Linked DNA regions of Callithrix jacchus. Each later gene encodes a partner of the first gene's protein in a complex. Links are inferred from orthologs where the notes say so. Each region holds a gene or a part of one and is shown on either strand. Other genes may lie near its edges.

What was found.
Region 2: the proteins of SRRT (region 1) and NCBP1 are in contact, whole or in part, in a cryo-EM structure (PDB 8PMP), measured with the Homo sapiens proteins. The link is inferred for Callithrix jacchus from reciprocal best matches to the Homo sapiens genes SRRT and NCBP1. Residues at the interface, in NP_056992.4 of Homo sapiens: Asp857, Pro858, Arg859, Val862, Glu863, Tyr864, Arg865, Asp866, Leu867, Asp868, Ala869, Asp872, Asp874, Phe875, Phe876; in NP_002477.1 of Homo sapiens: Tyr461, Gln463, Lys511, Lys557, Ser558, Ser560, His561, Ser564, Ala567, Lys568, His570, Lys607, Ile609, Arg610, Thr611, Gln612, Met648, His651, Glu705.
Region 3: the proteins of SRRT (region 1) and NCBP2 are in contact, whole or in part, in a cryo-EM structure (PDB 8PMP), measured with the Homo sapiens proteins. The link is inferred for Callithrix jacchus from reciprocal best matches to the Homo sapiens genes SRRT and NCBP2. Residues at the interface, in NP_056992.4 of Homo sapiens: Asp857, Arg859, Ala860, Ile861, Val862, Glu863, Tyr864, Arg865, Ala869, Asp874; in NP_031388.2 of Homo sapiens: Ser48, Phe49, Tyr50, Thr51, Thr52, Glu53, Gln55, Lys67, Met71, Leu73, Met76, Lys77, Lys78, Thr79, Ala80, Tyr89, Asp107, Glu121.

What each region holds. Positions count from the first base shown.
Region 1 is NC_133503.1:12,837,524-12,841,266, reverse strand, and holds the end of SRRT (serrate RNA effector molecule homolog), read left to right. Parts: intron 1-37; coding exon 38-195; intron 196-483; coding exon 484-545; intron 546-641; coding exon 642-720; intron 721-979; coding exon 980-1,168; intron 1,169-1,469; coding exon 1,470-1,643; intron 1,644-1,724; coding exon 1,725-1,878; intron 1,879-1,993; coding exon 1,994-2,187; intron 2,188-2,387; coding exon 2,388-2,544; intron 2,545-2,719; coding exon 2,720-2,821; intron 2,822-2,940; coding exon 2,941-3,067; intron 3,068-3,159; coding exon 3,160-3,235; 3' UTR 3,236-3,360; downstream 3,361-3,743. Other genes in the region: UFSP1 (ufm1-specific protease 1), read right to left, coding at 3,538-3,743. UniProt on the Homo sapiens protein: Acts as a mediator between the cap-binding complex (CBC) and the primary microRNAs (miRNAs) processing machinery during cell proliferation.
Region 2 is NC_133502.1:145,761,313-145,765,054, forward strand, and holds the start of NCBP1 (nuclear cap-binding protein subunit 1), read left to right. Parts: upstream 1-907; 5' UTR 908-1,185; coding exon 1,186-1,219; intron 1,220-3,742. UniProt on the Homo sapiens protein: Component of the cap-binding complex (CBC), which binds cotranscriptionally to the 5'-cap of pre-mRNAs and is involved in various processes such as pre-mRNA splicing, translation regulation, nonsense-mediated mRNA decay, RNA-mediated gene silencing (RNAi) by microRNAs (miRNAs) and mRNA export.
Region 3 is NC_133516.1:25,207,303-25,211,045, forward strand, and holds the start of NCBP2 (nuclear cap-binding protein subunit 2), read left to right. Parts: upstream 1-1,193; 5' UTR 1,194-1,245; coding exon 1,246-1,323; exon of another isoform or gene 1,324-1,379; intron 1,380-3,743. Other genes in the region: protein NCBP2AS2, read right to left, coding at 734-1,033. UniProt on the Homo sapiens protein: Component of the cap-binding complex (CBC), which binds co-transcriptionally to the 5' cap of pre-mRNAs and is involved in various processes such as pre-mRNA splicing, translation regulation, nonsense-mediated mRNA decay, RNA-mediated gene silencing (RNAi) by microRNAs (miRNAs) and mRNA export.

The DNA.
Region 1 (3,743 bases):
AACACACCAACTCCTACTGCACCAACTTCCTGCCTAGAAGCAGCGCTCAAGGAGAAAGAGAAGCCCAAGGAGGAAGAATGGGAGAAGCCCAAGGACGCTGCGGGGCTGGAGTGCAAGCCGCGGCCGCTGCATAAGACCTGCTCCCTCTTCATGCGTAACATTGCGCCCAATATCTCCCGGGCTGAGATCATCTCTGTGAGTGGGGAGAAGTGGAGAGCAGAGGGAAGGCAGTGGGGCCCCCGTTTCACCTAATAGGGAGGGCCCCTTCCCCAGGAGCTCATGCCCTCTGAGGGCTCGTCTTGATCATGCCATTGGCTTTCAGATGCTGGTGTTCTGAAGCCCTTCAGTGGTTTTGCCCTGCTCAAGGATGGGAAGAGTGACCAGGCAGTTAGTCTCTAGGGTTCTGAGGACAGTGGGGGATTGGAGGAAGAATCGAATGAATCCTTGAGTCACTAAATAGGGCTGGTTTTCTGCTTCTTGCAGCTTTGTAAAAGGTACCCAGGCTTTATGCGGGTGGCACTCTCAGAGCCCCAGCCAGAGAGGAGGTGAGTAACCAGGTGTGTTGGAGGAAAAAGTGCAGGGGAACGTTGATGGCCAGCACCACCTCCCTCGCTTGACTGCCCTAACATTTTCTTCTGTAGGTTTTTCCGTCGTGGCTGGGTGACCTTTGACCGCAGTGTTAACATTAAAGAGATCTGTTGGAATCTGCAGAACATCCGTGTGAGTATTGCGGGTGGGACTGTCTGGGGAAGAGAGTGGGAGGCTAACCTATCTGTCCTGGTAACTGCCCTAGAGCCTTGCCCAGAGGCAACGTAGGCAATGTAGGCAGACAAAGACAGGACCTACCTGTCAGGTCCCGGTCCTGAGGGAGCTTACAGGTTGATCGATCGCTGGTACTCAAGAGGGGAGGGTCTTAGAGCTGCTACGTCTCCCTGGCAAGTGGGGTTAGTGGAGTAAACTTCTGATGTCTGCCCTCCAGCTCCGGGAGTGCGAGCTGAGCCCCGGTGTGAACAGGGACCTGACCCGACGTGTCCGTAACATCAACGGCATCACCCAGCACAAGCAGATCGTGCGCAATGACATCAAGCTGGCAGCCAAGCTGGTCCACACGCTGGACGACAGGACCCAGCTGTGGGCCTCGGAGCCAGGGACGCCTCCCCCGCCAACGGTCAGTGACTCCCGCAGGACTGTCAGGGGCAGCTGATAGCACCTCCTCTGCTGTGGGTACCTCTAACCTCACCTGTCTGTAGCACCTCCTCCAGCTTCCAGCAGAACTGGGGCATGCTAGTGGTCATTTGTGGGCTGGGGTGGAACAAAGGCAAAAATGAAGACAAATCCCAAGGGGGCAAAAGGCACCAGTTCTGTCTGGTGAACTCCTGTCCCCTCACCACTCTTCACATTCGGAAGGTCTCAGGTTACCTGCCCTGAAGGTCTTTCTCTGCCTTACTTGCCCCTCTTCCTTCCACCAGAGCCTGCCCTCGCAAAACCCGATCTTGAAGAATATCACAGACTACCTGATCGAGGAAGTGAGTGCTGAGGAGGAGGAGCTGCTGGGGAGCAGCGGGGGTGCCCCACCTGAGGAGCCTCCTAAGGAAGGGAACCCGGCAGAGATCAATGTGGAGCGGGATGAGAAGCTGATCAAGGTGCCAGCAGTGGCTGCACAGGGATGTGGGGGTCGGGTGGTAAGGGCAGGAGCAGGAGCTGAGCACCCATACTCAACTCAGGTATTGGACAAGCTTCTCCTCTACCTGCGCATTGTGCATTCCTTGGATTATTACAACACCTGTGAGTACCCCAACGAGGACGAGATGCCCAATCGTTGTGGCATCATCCACGTTCGGGGGCCCATGCCACCCAACCGCATCAGTCATGGGGAAGGTGAGCTCCAGGTTCCCCTTTCTCCCTGGCTGCCTCTTGCCTTGGTCCTCCAGCCCCTCCCACCCTTCCTTCCAGCTCCCTTCCCAACTTTCCTTCCTCTGTTCCCAAACCATAGTGCTGGAGTGGCAGAAGACGTTTGAGGAGAAGCTCACGCCATTGCTCAGTGTGCGGGAGTCGCTTTCAGAGGAAGAGGCCCAGAAGATGGGCCGCAAAGACCCAGAGCAGGAAGTGGAGAAATTCGTTACCTCCAACACGCAGGAACTGGGCAAGGATAAGTGGCTGTGTCCTCTCAGCGGCAAGAAATTCAAGGTCTGGATGTTGGAGAATGGGCGTGCCAGGGTGGTGGGAGGTGGGGCTGAGACAGGAAGCCCCTAAAGGCCTGGGCTGGGGTGGGAGTTGAGGACTGCTCACTAGACTGGCAGGTGGGAGCTGGGAATCCTTTCAGGTCGGGCCTGTGATCGAGGCAAGTGTTATGTGGCTGTTGTGACCCCGCTCCTCTCTCCACTCAGGGTCCTGAGTTTGTGCGCAAGCATATCTTCAACAAGCATGCTGAGAAAATTGAGGAAGTGAAAAAGGAGGTTGCGTTTTTTAACAACTTCCTCACTGATGCCAAGCGCCCAGCTCTGCCTGAGATCAAGCCAGCCCAGCCACCTGGCCCTGCCCAGAGTAAGATACGATCCATGAGGGTCACATGTCCCCCGTCCCTTGACTGTCCAGGGACTCCTGTTTCTCTTACCTGTTGGCCTGAGAAGTTTCTGCCTCATCCTCAGGCCATAGCCCTAAAAGTCAGTTGTTCCCACCCCTCCCCCCCCCGCAGTAATTCACGTCCCTGTCCCTGTTGTACTCCCCCCAGGTTTGACCCCGGGACTCCCCTACCCACACCAGACTCCCCAGGGCCTGATGCCCTACGGTCAGCCCCGGCCTCCGATCTTGGGCTATGGAGGTAAGTAGAGGAGGGAGATGAAGGGGCTTGGTGAGTGTGACATTGGGCGAAAGGGAGAAAGAAACAGAGGATGGAGTTGAGGACATAGTTTTGCAACTCAACGCTGATCTCTGTCATAGCTGGTGCTGTCCGCCCTGCAGTCCCCACAGGAGGCCCTCCATATCCCCACGCCCCGTATGGTGCTGGCCGAGGGAACTACGATGCCTTCCGAGGCCAGGGAGGTTATCCTGGGAAACCTCGCAACAGGTGAGGCGGAGCGCACGCGCCCAGGCTTTGTTGCCCCTGCAAACTCCCTTTTGGGGGCCCTCAGCTCTCATACTTTACCTCTCATCTCACAGGATGGTTCGTGGAGACCCAAGGGCCATTGTGGAATATCGGGACCTGGATGCCCCAGACGACGTTGATTTCTTTTGAACTGTCACTGTTCCTCACTTCCTCACTCCTGTATCATCCTTTACTTGTGACTACCTGGTTCCCTCCAACTCTTGAGAATTTTTTGTACGATCAGCCTTACTGCCAATAAAAGCACTTCCACAGGGCTTCTGACTCATGTATGTTACATGTCGCCCCCATCCTTCGAAAGGAATTCCCGAGGTGTTGCTCAGCCCTGCCACTTTTATTACTGCTGTCAAAAGGCCCAGGCTCTGCGGGGGCACCAGCCCCAGGTACACAGGTGCATGTCTGGGACTGGAGAGTCTCAGTTCTGAACTTCACCCTCAGTCCAGGGGGTGCTGTTGCGGTTCTGAGCTATGGCTGGTCAAGCACAGGTTGTAGAAAGAGTTGGGGTCAAAGGCCTCATTCATCTCTCGCCAGCCCACCCACCCAGCAGCCTGTAGTTCACTGGGGCTTTTTGGAGCGCCCCAGTAGTGAGGGTCTAATACCAGGACATAGGCTTCCGTGCCTGACCCGATGCAGACTCCCA
Region 2 (3,742 bases), on another chromosome or scaffold:
GCCCTCACAGGAGTCTTTTAAACAAAGCAGTAACACGATCTGATTCTGGATTTGTGTTGAAAGCAGAGCACGCAGGGTTTACAAATAATTGTTATGTAAAAAGTGAGGGAAAAGAACTAAGACTCCCTAAACTTTTGGATTAAGCAGCCGATCGATGACGTAATTTACTGAAATAAGACTGAAAGAGAATTAGTCCGAGAGAGTGAAATTTCAGATGGCCATGGACAAAGTAGTTAGGTAAGCCAGTATGGTGCTCAGAAAGACATCAGAGGAGGGAATATTCACACACAGGCATATAGGCACCCAATAATCCTTGAAGACAGATGACCAAAAATCATTTGTTCCTTCTTAAGCAAACACTTAGGTAAAATGACGGCAAGCCGGCAAGCCAGGAGCAGCAGGTAGCAGCAAGATCGCGTCAGGACCGGCCTTTCCATCCCAGGGGGCGGCACGTGCGGCACCGCCTCCCGCCCAGGCCCCACCCCGCGTGCACAGCTTGGCCCAACCTCTCCGCCCACTTTTCCCAAGGCGGCAAAAGCCGGAAAGTGGGAGTAGATGAGCACATACCCGCCAGTCCTGATCCTTTCTTAGGTCTCTCTTCCCTGCACCATCTCCACTTAGCAATTGTCACTGCTTACTGCCCTCGAGTCTGGCCCCCGCCGCATGTTTGGGTAGAAAAGCTCGCTCGTGACGTCACCAAGCTCCGGAAGTCTCCTGGACGTCGGCGCAAGGGCCGCCGGGAAAACCATTGAGACGCCCCGAACGACCGGCCTGAACGGAGGCGGGGACTAGAGCGGCCGCCGGCACCACTTGCCTTCAGACGTACGACGACCTTGGCCCGGGGGCTCTGACTGGTCGAAGCGGCGGCACTTTCTGCGTGGCCCCGGAAGGACATAGAGCGGAAGGCGGGAGAAAGAAGCAGCCGGCAGGCGGAGGCAGCCCGAAGGGGGCGGTTGCGTGCGGGCCCGACGCCCGTAGCCCTCTGAGCTTCTGCACGCCGGCTCTTTCGGCTCTGAGCTCACCCAGCGGCCTCTTCTGCGCTTCCGGGAGCCGTGGCGAGCGACTGCGCCTGCGTGCCGGCGCATCCGCGCGCTTCGCAGCTGCCCTCGCGCCGGCCAACGGCCGGGCAGTTCCTGCAGGGCTTACCGCCTGGCCTCTCGGCTCCGCGGCGCACCGTAGGGCGGCATGTCGCGGCGGCGGCACAGCGACGAGAACGACGGTGAGTGCCCGCGGCCCTGCCGCGGAGGCCGCTCCCGGTTGGGAGCCGAGGTTCGGAATCTTTGGGTGTCCAGGGAAGAGAAGGGAACCGCTTTTTCCCGGGAGCGTGCGGGGAGCCGCGGAGGGAAAGAGTGGAATACAGTACCGGTGTGGCCGGAAGGCTTCTGGAAAGCGACTTCTCCCCCGCCCCAGTTCCTTGAGTCATGGGCCGATCCTGGGAAAGGAGGCCTGGTGAACCCCACGGATAGACCCTTGGTCTCTAAGGACGCTTCAGAGCTTGGTCCTTAGCACCACGGAGCAGGGAAGCACACCTGTGTCTGTACTGGTGCCTCTTAGGGACCCACTGACCCCAGTGTCTCGTTTTAACCTTCAAAGCTGCACCTGAAAAGGGCTCGAAAAAATTCACTGAAGGAAAGGACTGAGATCTCATGAATTGCAGTCTGAACTCTGTTCCGGTACTGGTCATCTGTTGATTATCCTTCTTTCAAACTGCGAAGAAGGAATATTGTCTTATTACGCCCAAGAGGTCCCTAATAGACACAGGTTACGGCAGATTTTGAACTGGCCGCACGCACATTTCCCTCGTGTGAGAAAGAGTGCTAGAAAACTAACTCAGGCCTCTGAGAGAGTTAGGGGTTTCTATCTCCATTTGGATGATTGTGCTCGTGGAGGTCAAGGTGTTGCCTTCATAAAAACGGACTAATTCTAGTTTAAACAAAAGATGCTTACATTACACATAAGCCTTACAATCGGTCATAAATACAAATCCACACACACAAAAAGTGAAACTTAGAGTAATTATGTTATTAACATTTTTGTGTGTTAATCTTTGAAGAGAGTGTATAGTAACGTTTAAGAGGTGAGACTTTGGAACCAGAGGGTTTAGGTTCAAAGCCAGACGTTACCGTTTGCTTTGTGATCTTGTCCAGGTTATGTAATCTCCTTAAACTTTAGTAATATAGAAGCAATGATACTTACATTTTCTGGGGTTTGTGAAGGTTAAATGAGACGTCAGCAGTGGCCCACGATGATGATTTATCATTTGCCAATGCTTAAGAGGTGGTAAACATTAGCATATGCTGTCATTGTAGGGGGAAAAAGCGTAACAGACATTTTAAATTTTCTCTACTCTCTGCTTGGGTGTTGCGGCAGTTGAGGTGGAAGCAGAATCTCATGCATTTAGTTTTAATAGGGAAGCACCAGATTTCTATAAAGGCATGGCTTGAAGGGTTATTCTAGTCCAGCCTTATCATCGGACGCCTAAGGATATAGAGACTGAGTATAACTAACACGGAGAGACAGCTGTCAGTTCCAAGACACCAGGAAGAGCAAGTCCATTCCAGGGCTCTCTTCGCTACACAGGTATAAATTAGGCTGCGTGCTTTGATTTCCACCACAAGAGGCTTCTTGTGTAACCTCTGTACAAGGCACAGAAAATACATTTCCCCTTTATTTGTGTGTGTGAGACAGAGTGTCACTGTCAGGCCGGATTGCAGTGGCTCAATCTCGGCTCACTGTAACCTCTGCCTCTCAGGCCTAAGTATCCTCCCACCTCAGCCTCCTGAGTAGCTGGGACCTCAGGTGCAGGCCATCATGCCCGGCCGGTTTTTGTTTTTTTTTTACTTTTGTATTTTTCGTAGAGATGGGGTGTTGCCACGTTGCCCAGGCTGGTCTTCAACTCCTGAGCTCAGGACGATCCACCCACCTTGGCTTCCCAAAGTGCTGGGATTACAGATGTGAGCTACTGCGCCCGACAAAAATACAGTTTTCATTTGCTTTGTTATTAATCAAAAGCGAATATATTTCCCGAGTCATTACTTGGGGGTTGGATAACTTGAATCTTTTGTCCTTTCCATTTTCTTTATTGTTCTTATGCTTTTTCTCCCTTATCGGGAATCCCTAAGGAGAGAGAAAATGTCACTTTCGGGCATCCTAGAGAATTGGAATGCAAATATGTAGAAAAATAACTTTTGCTTTGGTTATTGGGAGACTGACATAACTTTCTTGGAGTTGGCTTTAACACCAGCTGGCAGCCAAGTCACTGTCCATTTGTGTCTTGCTGGACAACCTCAGAGTAAGTAAGACAAAGAAGCAAAAGAAGGCATTCATTAAGCAAAGGTTAATATGGTGGGTATTTTAGTATGGGAGAGGCAGATACAGTTCATACTTCATAATACGGCAAATCTGAAATTTCTGTAAATCGCCACAATTTGGGTAACAGTCAGCTGGAGTTGACCCTACACAGTGATCTGAATCAGATAATTTGGATGCTTTCCTTTTAGCTTCCAAATAATCCAACTAATGAAAATAGTTAAACATCTATTTTCTAAAAAATAAGACATCTTAGAAGCTTAAGTATTATAGAAGGCTATTTTATAATAGGCTAGGAATTATAGTCAGAATTAAATAGATGCATCTGAGCATTTCTGGATAATTGTCAGCTCCTGTCTATCACTGCCCTGACTTTCCATATGCTTGACTCTATATATAGAAAGAGTATATATGTAATATATTATAATAGAAT
Region 3 (3,743 bases), on another chromosome or scaffold:
GCCTCTGTTTCTGTTTCAGTGGCTCTTGTTTGTAATCCCAGCACTTTGGGAGGCTGAGGCAGGAGGATCAGTTGGGCTCGAGTTTGAGACCAGCCGAGGCAACACAATGAGACTACCCCATCTCTGCTTCCTCATGTGAATGTGGTTTTAAGGAGATGACACAAAAACACACACACAGAATGCTATTAGCAAGTCGCAGCACAGAATAAATACTCATTTCATAAAGTATGTGTTTATTATTACCATAGGCCTACAGTCCCCAGTATTCTTCATCCATCTTGCCTGAGAAGTATCACACTCATGCCTATTAATCAGCTCACACATTTAATCAAAGGATTTTGGCAGCTGTAGGGTGGTCTTTTTATCCATATCGTCCCTGGAATTAAGTGTCCTGCTATACCCGTGCAGATTCAGCAGCATCTGTCAAGAGTTTCAATCCCATTTGCAGAGGAAAGGCTCTGTGGCTTCGGCCGGTGGCTCTCCATAGGTGCTGTGACTGGACCCAGCCCATCTTCACCTCTGTTAGGCTTCGGGGTCTTTCTCCACACTGTGCCTTGTCAAATCACAAGACTTCAACGGAGACGGCGGTCTGGCCTAGGCTCTTCTGAGTGGGATATCCGCAGGCCAAAAATCGGAGTCAGGATTCGAGGCCGTGCGCAGTGCCCGGAATGACCCCTCAACGCCGAGGCCAGAATAGAGCCCAGAAGCGGCCTCAGCCCCGCGCAGCCCAGGCTTAAATGTTTGCGCCCGGGCCCCTCTGGCTACCTGGTGGTGGCCCTGAGCGGCCCCGGAGGCCGCGGCGTAGCTCCTGGGTGAAAGCGTCTTTGAATCGCTCAACGCGGCGGCCCAGGGAGCCCGCGGGCCCAGCCGCGAGGTCCCGCAGGCGGCGGGCCGCGTCTTGGCCCCGCAGCTGGGCCTGGAGCAGTGCGAAGGCTGTGAGCTGCGCCGCACGTCGGATAGGCCACGACTCCGACAGACGATCCACTAGCTGCGGGCTGTGCAGCAAGGCGGCCAGCAGCCGTCGGAGCACCATCCTCTCCCGGCGCCCGAAAACCGCAGCGCGCCGCCCTTACCTTCTGCTCCGCGGGCCCGACCCGACGCCTTTTGTGCTCGCGCAGCTTGATGACGATACTGTCGCCCGGATTGGGTCCAATAAGATGCGCGTCTCCGCCCGTCTCCGCTTCCGCCACGGCAGTCGCCGCCTCGTGTCGGGAGTTGTCGCATCCTCGTCCGCTTCTCTGCGCTATGTCGGGTGGCCTCCTGAAGGCGCTGCGCAGCGACTCCTACGTGGAGCTGAGCCAGTACCGGGACCAGCACTTCCGGGTGAGGGAGGCCCGGCCGCGAGAGGGGAAGGCCCTGGGCCAGAACGCTGAGAAACGGTTTGCTCTTGTCTCGTGTTGCATCCCATTATGCTGGAGTCCCCAAACGCCAAGTGGGGCCTCGGTGCCTGCTGGGGAGGCAGGGAATGGGTGCTGCAAGGGCGTTTGGATATCGATGAAGCCACTTTCTCTGGAAGATTGAGAATTTGAGGCTCGCTTTCCCGTTCCCTAGCAGGCACTCCCGGTACCCCGGCCAGCGCCGAGAGGTTTGAGTGGTAGTAGTAGTGGCTCCCGTTTCCACGGTTTGCCTCGGGAAGGTGACTACGTAACAAGGGGGAGGGGTGTCCTAACTCCCTGAGTCTGTAGAGGCGCCTTCCTGATGCAGACACGGGGCTTTTTACTTTGTTTTTTAAATCAGCGAAGCAGTGCCTTTCCGCGATTCGGGCCCCCTCACTGGGAGGGTGGTCCTACGGAAACTGTACGCGGTGCGTGGGAGACACGAGTGGAGTCCTCACTCCGCCCTCGGGGAACCTTCGGAGTAGGAGGTGGACCCGTCAAGCTGGGCACGTTGAGGGTGTAAAGATGGGAGAGTTGCTGCATTTCAGAAGAGGGAAATTTTTAGTCCCAACTATATCGAATACTGTATCACTATATTTTGTGAAAAAGGGGGAGGCTGCAGATATTCAGAGTAGGCTTTTCAGTATCAACAAAGGCAGGGATGGAATACGGTTGGGGCTAGCGGGACTCTTTAACCCAGTTATTTAGTAAATGTTTATTGAGTGCTGTTGCTAAAGCCTTGTACTAAACCCTAGAGGGAGAGGGAAGACAGATTTTTGCACTCGACGAGCTCATAATTCCCCGTAGTATGGATTATAAATGGAGGGAAGTAATCAGAATCTAAGCAGAAGTGAGTTAAGACAGAAGTAGTGAAGATTCAGAAAAGCGGGGGGAATCCCCATGTGACTGGGAAATGAAGGGCTGTACATAGCAGAGGGTAGGTGTGGAGAATGTGTGAAATGTGTTACTAAAGTAGGGAAAAGGAAATTTTGTTTGACAGCAAATTGGGGAAGCTCTTAAATTTATTCAGCCGAGCATGGTGGCTCACGCCTGTAATCCCAGAACTTGGGGAGTCAGAGGTGGCCAGATCATGACGTCAACAGATCGAGATCATCCTGGCCAACATGATGAAACCCCGTCTCTACTCAAAATACAAAAAATTAGCTGGGCGTGGTGGGGCGCGCCTGTAGTCCCAGCTACTCCGGAGGCTGAAAGGAGAATGCTTGAACCCAGGAGGCGGAGGTTGCAGTGACCTGAGATCGCGCCACTGCACTCCAGCTTGGGCAACACAGCGAGACTCCATCTCAAAAAAAAAAAATTTTTAAGGACGGGCACGACACGGTGGCGCACACGTGTAATCCCAGCACTTTGGGAGGCCAGGACAGGTGGATAACGAGGTCAGGAGTTCAAGACCAGCCCGGCCAAGATGGTGAAACCCCATCTCTACTAAAAATACAAAAATTAGCTGGGCATGGTGGCGGTTGCCTGTAATCCTGGCTACTTGGGAGGCTGGGGCAGGAGAGTCGCTTGGAACCCAGAAGGCGGTTGCAGTGAGTTGAGATCATGCCACTGCACTCCAGCCTGGGTGACAGAATGAGACTATGTCTTAAAATGATTTATTATTATTTATGCATTCCAGCCTGGGCGACAGAGTGAGAGTATGTCTCAAATAAAACAAGACTTATTTATTTTTTGAGACAGAGACTAGCTCTATTGCTTCGGCTGAAGTGCAGTGGCACAATCACGATTCTGCAGCCTCAGCATCCTAAGCCCAAGTGATCCTCCCACCTCAGCCTCTGGAGAAGCTGGGACCACAGGTTCGCACCACTACATATGGCTTTTTGTAGAGACAGGTCTCCCTGCAGTGTTCAGGCTAGTCTCAAACTCGGGGACTCAAGCAATCTACCTGCCTGGGCTTCCCAAAGTGTTGGGATTACAGATATGAACCACTGATCCCGGCTGGTCAGGTTTTTAGATGCTTTAGTGCCAGGCATGATTTGCACTTCTACCACTTTTACAGCTATTACTTCAGACAATTCCACATCCTAACCATTTTTAACTTCAATGTAAAATGAAAACTGAAAACTTTTGACTTTGTCTATTATTCATCTCTTCAGTCTAAAACCTAGAGCTTTATTTAGATAATAATACCATACTGTCATGTGGAATTTCTAGCATTCTGTGAATGGAATCCATATTCATATAGTTAAGTACTTGTACCGTAGTTATCTTAAACTGTAGGCTATTTATTTGGACCTTACTTATGTGTGAGGAAAGTAGAAAAAGAAGATGCCCCATCCATGTTAACAAATCAGTGACAGCAGTAAAATGACAGGAATTTACTTTGTCTAATGTCTCATAGTTCTA